2 linked regions of the Drosophila melanogaster genome follow. The protein of the gene in region 1 interacts with the protein of each later gene in a pairwise test. Each region holds a gene or a part of one and is shown on either strand. Other genes may lie near its edges.

Evidence for each region.
Region 2: the proteins of CG12426 (region 1) and Slob interact in a two-hybrid assay, tested with the Drosophila melanogaster proteins (one large-scale study listed by BioGRID).

The regions. Positions count from the first base shown.
Region 1 is NT_033777.3:27,870,895-27,874,204, reverse strand, and holds CG12426 (uncharacterized protein), read left to right. Parts: upstream 1-1,814; 5' UTR 1,815-1,861; coding exon 1,862-1,912; intron 1,913-1,975; coding exon 1,976-2,155; intron 2,156-2,268; coding exon 2,269-2,462; intron 2,463-2,527; coding exon 2,528-2,594; 3' UTR 2,595-2,704; downstream 2,705-3,310.
Region 2 is NT_033779.5:7,672,055-7,676,931, reverse strand, and holds the start of Slob (slowpoke binding protein), read left to right. Parts: upstream 1-1,853; 5' UTR 1,854-2,493; intron 2,494-4,877. UniProt on the Drosophila melanogaster protein: Regulator of calcium-activated channel Slo. Increases or decreases the voltage sensitivity of Slo, depending on the absence or presence of 14-3-3-zeta in the complex, respectively.

The sequences.
Region 1 (3,310 bases):
AATTCGTTCGAAAAAGTCACAATCAGAAGTTAAGAACTTTTGTATCTCATTGAGGACTAAAGAACCCCATTTCGCACGCCACTGGAGGACGTGTTCTTGAAGGCACTGAAAGTTATGCCCCCAACTTATTGCCGCTTTCCGCATTGCTTTTGTTTCGCCATCGAGCCTTGTGTTTGTAGTTCGGTTGGGTTTCTTACGGCTTACGGCTTGTCAGTGGCTCAGTGGCTCGGTGGCTCAGTGGCTCAGTGGAGCACTGCTGGGAATCATTTCGTTTGGCCCTGCTCCTGCTGCTGCAGTTTTCTTGCGCGAGCCGGAAGGAAATGAGCAAAAATGACAAAGTTAACGGATGTGCACAAAACACAACGCACTCCGACTCACACACACACACACACATCCATACGCTCACTCATTGCCACACCGCCCACCAATATACCGTCCTTCCTATTTCGTCCTTTTCCTTCGTCCTTTCCTCCGGCGCTTGTCCTGCTTTGGGCCTGCCCAATGCACTTGCACAGGATCAGGATATGTGTGCGGAAAGTACGACAATTTTACATGCATTTGATTTATGTTTCGCCAGCTCTCTGACTCTTGCAACTTTTGCCATGCCACACCGCCCTTGTCATTGGTCCAACTCCCCTGTTGCAAAAGGCCCCCCTTTCCACCGCCCCACAAGTAAGCAAATCATAGCCTACATTTCCGCTGTTGTTTATTCGAGAACATTTCTCTTTCTCCTGCTCCTTTGGCCGCTTTGGGGAGTTCACTTCACTTCGCATCGCATCTCTGTCTCTATCTCGAGTCGAAAGTTTTTTGTCTTTGCAACATTTTTCCATAAATTTCACCGAAAAGGCGAAACGTTGTCATGTTTGGCTAATATGCAATTGTCGCAACAAAGCTGCCAAAATTTATGCCACTCGGGAGAGTTGTCCTCCCATCCAGCGATTGACTTGCTAAAGTATCGATCACTTTTTCACCCTAAGAAATTAAGAGTTTTTTGCTCAATCAAAATGCTTAAACAAACCTAGTTTGGTTTATATGGAAAAGGGGCGGCGGGACAATTGGGGCTGAGCACCTTTTGAAAAGCGAACAAATTAAATTATATTATATTTGCCGCCCCCTTTTTTCCGCTTGTTTTGTGTTCGGTTTGCTTTCGTTTGTTTTTGTCCCCTTTTGTTGGTTCACGTTTTGAAATTTTCATTTATCAACGGTATTTCCATTGCTCGATCCCAGTCGGCGTTCCGAAACGAAAGCCTGGAGTGGGTCGACGACGCTAGCCGGTTATGGGACTACTCTTGGCCACTTGGGCACTTGGGCCCGAGTTCCATGGGTCCGGCTCGGATCGGGTCCGGTCAGGTACTTCGCTAAATGTTTTGCCACTGAAAAATGTGGCTTTAAATTGCATGAAATCATCGCCACATTCCACAAGTAATGAAATTAGTGCAAACAAAGCAACAAATGCGTGGCAGCGGGGCAACGACTCGGGCACTCAACAAGCGCTATCGAGGCCAATTAGATTAGCTGGGCCAAAACGAAATGAAAAACGCAAAAAATAAGAGGAGCAAGAGAAAACAATAAAATTTTGCTACGAGTGAAGCAATTCCACAAGTTGGCATCTTGAATAAAGCATTTACAGTAAAACAGTGTGCCCAAAGCTACATAAGATTGTAATTTGGGGATACTGGTCACACTATGTTATTGGGGTATCTTAATATCTTGTAATTTGATGCTACAGTTCACCTACTTTTAAAATGTAGCCAATTCAAAGTCCAATCGAAGTAAGGAAAAACGGTTTCCTTTTTTCCTTCATTAGATGGCAGATTTGCTTTTACTGTCAATGCTTTGAACAAAATTTCTGGTTACCATTATGAGCTTCCCCTTTCGTTTGGTGAACTTTGTGCTGCAGTTGCTAACGGCGGTGACTATAACTGCAATCTTGCAGTGCAATGGGCGTGGTAACGTATCTGCCTTTGTCCATCAGGTCCTGGAGGTTGTGGCCCTGGGTCTGCTCATCCGAATCCTATCCACGCACTGTGTCCTGGGCGAGGAGTACGGCATATCGGTGTGGATGTACACGTTCATCCTACCCGCCATCGCCTGTCAGAGCGTGGTTCTCGTCATATTCCGGCTATGCTGCACCACCGTGGGCCTCGATCCAATTGTGCGTACACATACATTTGTTGGGCTGGGCGGGGCGTTGCTGGGCTGGGTTGGGTTGTTCTGGTTTCGATAGTTATTTGGCGATGATGAATGCTCAACGAGTGTGTTTTACAGGCGATGACGTTTAATTTCGCCAGCGGCTTCCTGTGCCTAGGAAGCGCACTTGCCCTCCTGGTGTCCATGGTCGATCATTGCGGCAACGAGTTCGCATACATATTCTATATGTCGAGCGCCTTTGGCGTAATCGCTGGGGTCCTGCATTTGCTGAATGCCTGCGTGTGCAACGTTTACATTCCCAGCGGCGAATGGTATTTATTGATTAATGGCATGCCGGACTTCGTCGATTGGCTCAATACTTGTCCTGAACCCGCAGGTCTTACATGAAACCTTCGAAGAGGGCAAGGAAAAAGGAGTTGAAAAATCCTAGACGCAGAAGCTAGTGATGCGTACTGGATGTTTGTACATATCTTAAGGATATCATTTATTGGTTGTATTACTGTTTTTTTTTTTTTTACTTAGCTATCCTATATTAAATTTATAGTTGTTTCTTACACACTCAGTACTTAACGAAAATTGTAATAACATGCGATTGTTTGCTTTAATTGACAACTGGCTGTCAGTTGGCATTAACTCAAATCGACTTTTATTCCTCCTCCAACGACTGCGACTGCCAGACAGTAAAAAGGAAAAACAGTTTAGTCGTTCAAGCGCCGAATTTCCCCCAGACAAACCCCACCCCCTACCAAGAAATTCAACAGGACTCTTTGTGTCGATTGTTTGTTTGTTATTGTTATTTGTTATCGTTTCGCTGGGCGGTCGCTCTTGGCCCTTTCGTCTGGCCAGCGGTCATAATCAATAGAATTTGGCGACCTTTGCGTGTTAATGGCTTAAATGTTTAGGCCAGTGTCGACAGCATTCACAATGCCATGAGAAACTGTTTGATTGGTATTCGGAATTGTAATGAGGGTTGTTGCTTTGGGCGACTTTCTGCTGCTCAGCCAGAAATCAATAAATTGGTCTCAAAGCGCGCAAAGTCCTTTTGAGGAGCTCGATAATGGTTGCACTCGCATAATGAAGAGGATGGATATCTATATGTAGTGAATGTAGCAGGGGACTCACACTTCAATCAATGCCGAGCGACAAACATGAAATTTTT
Region 2 (4,877 bases), on another chromosome or scaffold:
GATTATCCTGCAAGTCTGCTTAGCAGGAGCAACATGCGGACTAGCCGGGGCAGCTTAGCCAGCTGAGCGAGCTCAGCTTTTGACCCACTTTCGGACGTCACTAATTCGTCGGCGGATAAAAGCAAAGAAAGAGCCCAAGGTGGCTTTGCACTGAGAATAAAATGATTTGCAGTGTATTCTTAGCATATGTATAAAAATTTATCAAGATAAATAAAATGGATGTTAAATTACTACATTTTAGTAAATTTACTTTTCTTTTTAATACTCCTAAGGGAGCAACTATACAATTTTGTCATAAAATGTTCGAAGCAGTCTAAAATTAATATAAATATTGTAGTTAAATTTTTCTCTCTGTATGGAAAAATTAAAAAAGGGCCGAAGATCGGCGGATAAAAGCAAAGAAAGAGCCCAAGGTGGCTTTGCACTGAGAATAAAATGATTTGCAGTGTATTCTTAGCATATGTATAAAAATTTATCAAGATAAATAAAATGGATGTTAAATTACTACATTTTAGTAAATTTACTTTTCTTTTTAATACTCCTAAGGGAGCAACTATACAATTTTGTCATAAAATGTTCGAAGCAGTCTAAAATTAATATAAATATTGTAGTTACATTTTTCTCTCTGTATGGAAAAATTAAAAAAGGGCCGAAGATGACAGCAAAGACTTTTCACTTTCCTCTGACGTTTCGCGGATCGCTGGTGGCGCATAAAAATTCAATTAAAGACGGCGGCGGCTGGCCAAAGGACGTGAACACAAGGCGAGTGTGCCGTCATAAATTCCATGCCGATAACGCGGCGTATGCGCAATGTCGAGCAATTTGTTCTGAGTTGCCAGTTGCGAGGTGAACCCCAAGCAATCATCGTCAGGCGAGCAATTTACAATGTTTGCCGTGTTCCTCAGATAGCAGCATCGCATCCACCGCTGCATTCGCTCGCTGACACTGATAATTCAGTTGGCGATGTAACACCTCCACCACCCACCACTGCCCCCAAGACAATCAACCACCCAGCCACCCACTCTCGAACAAATTGTTGACCTATATTTGGGCATCAATGAAACGCGAGCAGATGTGGCGAACAGTTGGCGAAGGGGGAAACAACAACTGCACCGCGTTTTCAATGCTGTTGAGTAAGTTGAGTAAAAGCTTCTGGTAGCCGCTTTGCTGGAGAAAAGCTGTGTAGCAATCACTCTTTCCTCATCGGTGCTTTGTCAAAGCTTTGCGACTGGAATGAAAAGCTCCCACACTCTCCCAAACAAATTAGTTACTTTTTCCAAAGATAAGGATATTCGCGGCTATAAATTTGTTAACAACGATTTTCACATGCGTGAGTTGTTTCAATTAAAGCAAAATTAATAAAGAAAAGTTAAAACGGAAAAAGAGTTAAGCCCTAAAATGTTGTTCTTTAATATAAGACAGAAACTGAATTATTCTGTTTTTGCCTGCTTTAATAAGTCCTATTGAATTTCTACATCACTTACCATATCATTTTTAAATTTCAATGAAATATTAAAAACTACAACATACATATACGGGTAATAAGAATGGGCCACTTAAACAGCTGACTTCCATGAAACCGTTATCCAGAAGATACTATCAGATACTGGCGACCGTCGAAGCTCCTGCTCCTGGAAGGGGTAATCAGCTGGACAAATCCAGAGAGAGCGAGAACGGAACAAGTGACAGTGGAACAGGCAAATCAACCGAAAAGGGAAAAGGGTGTCAATGGAAGACCACAAATGGAACTTTTTGGACACTTTCTCTCTGTCTCTCGGTTTTCCACTCTCTTTTAGGAGGAAATAAAGGCGGCAAGCGGCTGGCAGCTTTTCAATCCAGTTCGAGTCAGCCAGCGGAGTGGACGTCTCTATTTCTCAGTGTAATTCCCAACCGATTCTCTGCCGCGTCGCGAATAAAACGGTAGTTTTAAATTAAAATTTTAACAAATTTACACTTAATTTAGAAAACTAAGTCAGATTATTGAATACACAAAATTTGATGATGTATATTGACTATTCGCACACGACCGTCATTGCGAATGCCATCAATTATTTAAGGCATTTATTTTGATTCAGTTTCCTTGTGCTTTTGTTTGCTGGTTGTCCCACAAAAACAGAAATTGTTTGCCCTCCAGGAGCAACAAAAACAACTGTGAGCGGAGAGTGCAGAGAGCCGATGGACACCGAAAAATCCGAATAGGAAACATACCGAAGTCCAAAAGCACCGAGCACCAAACACACGGAAATTCAGTCGCGTAAGGGCATCGCATCAGTCCACACCGCATCGGATCTTCGAGATACATTCGCATCTGTAAGATACAACCGCATTTTTGGGATACTCTCGCGAGTGAAAATTTTTTCGGCAATAAGTCAATTAAAAACCCGAATCTCAAACCATCAATAAATCAGATAATCAAATACCGGAAAATAGGCAAGCAGGAAAGAGGAACTCTAAATCAAGCTCAAAGCTCTTCTCACCTTTTCCTGGTTACAGGTGAGTTCAGTGGCTGACACTTGGGGGAGGTGGTGGCCTTTTATGACCTATTTGAAATCTGAAGGGCTGTAAATGCAATTATTCGCCAGCCACAATGCGTATCTATGCGTTTGTTAAAGTAATTTAGAAGTAATTGAGAATTCTGTGGAATCTAATACATTTTGACTTAATGAGATAATGGGTAACTGGATGCCGAATTGGCTAACTGGAATTCTATATCCGTATAAAGACCGGTTTCCAGCATAAAGCAGGATTCATTAACCCCTTAGAAGGTCAAATACTTTTTCTTAAAACTCTCCACAACTTTATTTCAATTCCGAATGCAATTTGCTAGCGAGTCTGTGCGTTTCTCGTTTTGTACAGCTGCATGGACGTCATGGGGGGATTATGGAAGCATATTACGCATACGCCCCATCCGCCAAAAGCAAGTGCAATTGGAGATGATGATTGTCAACGTTCAATGGAGCATCCATTGCCATTTCTTTTTCCAGTTCCCCATGCGGTAATTGCAGCGCCAACTGCACGAACTATTCCTAATGAGACAGTTAAATCGCAATCGTAAAGCTAGAGTCCCGTACTCATTTATCCATCTGCGTCTACCCCTTCTCAGATTTTGGTGAAGAGAACCCTTGAGGAACGCGCTCGGTTTCCTTTGAATGCCGCTGCGTTTCTTTCTCAATCTCAATTGGAATGCATTGTGCCCAAGGACATCTGCAGAAGCAAAGGAGCAGAAAAATGGTCTTCTAGGTGGTTCGAAGGGAGGCCTTTTGCTTTAGCGGTACATTACTCAGTTTACTGCCGGATTATAGCCTTAAGCCGTTCGGAAGTTTCTCAAGGGGTTGGGATACTAAACGAGCAGACAGCTAATGTCCGTCCCTCCACATTTTACGAGAGAAAAAGCGGAGACAGAGCAGTAGGATTTCCCAAAATAGACAATTTTCTTTTTTTTTTTTTGACTCTCTCTCACTGGAGAGTAGGGAACCCAAACGGAATCAGTGAAAGTGGCATCGACAAATTCGATTTGGTTACTGCCTGGTAATAGACCCTAGGAATATTTATTGGAATGCAATAACCACTTTTTCTGGATATTTTAAAATGTTGGGATAAAAATAGCTAATTATATCCAATCCATAAAAAAAAAATCAAAAGTTAATGAATATTACTTTCAACATAAAGATACCCAAGTGAAAAGATTTCTTTCTTCTCTGGCAATTGTTGTCCCGTGTTAATCTAATAGAAAACGATTTGTTTTGTTGACATTTTTCTTTTAACGTTTCCCCAATTTTATTGTGTTTGTGCAAACATTTTTATTTGATTCCGACTTTTGCTTCTTCTTGTCTCCGTTTTTCCATTTTCAGTGATTTGATTTTCATGTTAACTTAGATCACTCGACTGAATCGATTTTCCTGCGGGCGGAGATAACATTTAAGTGCGCCCAAGTGTCGCCTACAATATTTCCGAAATTTATGCTAATTATGCAAACGCCTCTGTACAAACAGCAAACGCTGCGTATGCGTAATACTTTTGGCCATATTTTGCTTTGTTTTGACAAAGACAACAAAGGTCATGGGATGTGAGGGTACCAGGCGTCGAGATTTCTTGGCGGTGATTCTAAAAATAGACAATTGAGTGAATCATGGATTCACTAAAGAAAAAAGTATTTTGTTAGGACTCACATGAGTTGCTGGATAAAGTCTTGATTCGAAAGGGCTTGATTTGACAGGGCAGTCATTACTCAGGACAGACAATAAACCATCTAAACCCCTCTCTTCGTTGAACACCCTCTGAATTTCTAGAGAACGTTTTCGTATCGACGAAATCTTATATATCTTCGCTGATTTATGCGTTCTATTCCAGCGAAAATGTTTATTCTGAGCCCTTTTTTGGAGTGCCAGAGAATTAGTTCATCCTGCCATGTTGGCCACGCCCCATCGCTCACCCCGCCCCTTTGACCAGGATTTGTTTTGTGTGTTGCTTTCAATTTGTTTGTTTATTTCACTTTTCGAAAAAGGTCAAAGTTAGCCACATTTTGTTTCGCATTCGCTTTGGGCCTTCACCCATATGTGTTTGTGTGGCTCAGAGGGGCGTTTTGGGTGGGCGTGGCTTTTGAAATTTCGTTTATGTGCTTTTCTGACATTCATTAAAAGTCCAGCGAGCGACGAAAACTTTGAAGAGATTATCGACTAGGGCAGTCATAATATTTATGGGCTCGCGGGAAAGGTCAGGGATTGACCTTTACCTACCCCAAAAAAGTACTTTCATTGTTGTCCCAATTTAACAAACGACACTAACACTTGATCTGCGATAAGAAAATTGAAATCAAAGGCAACCCCACAAAGGAAAACCTGGGGGAAATATTCTGGTAGACGGGGTTTGACATTTTA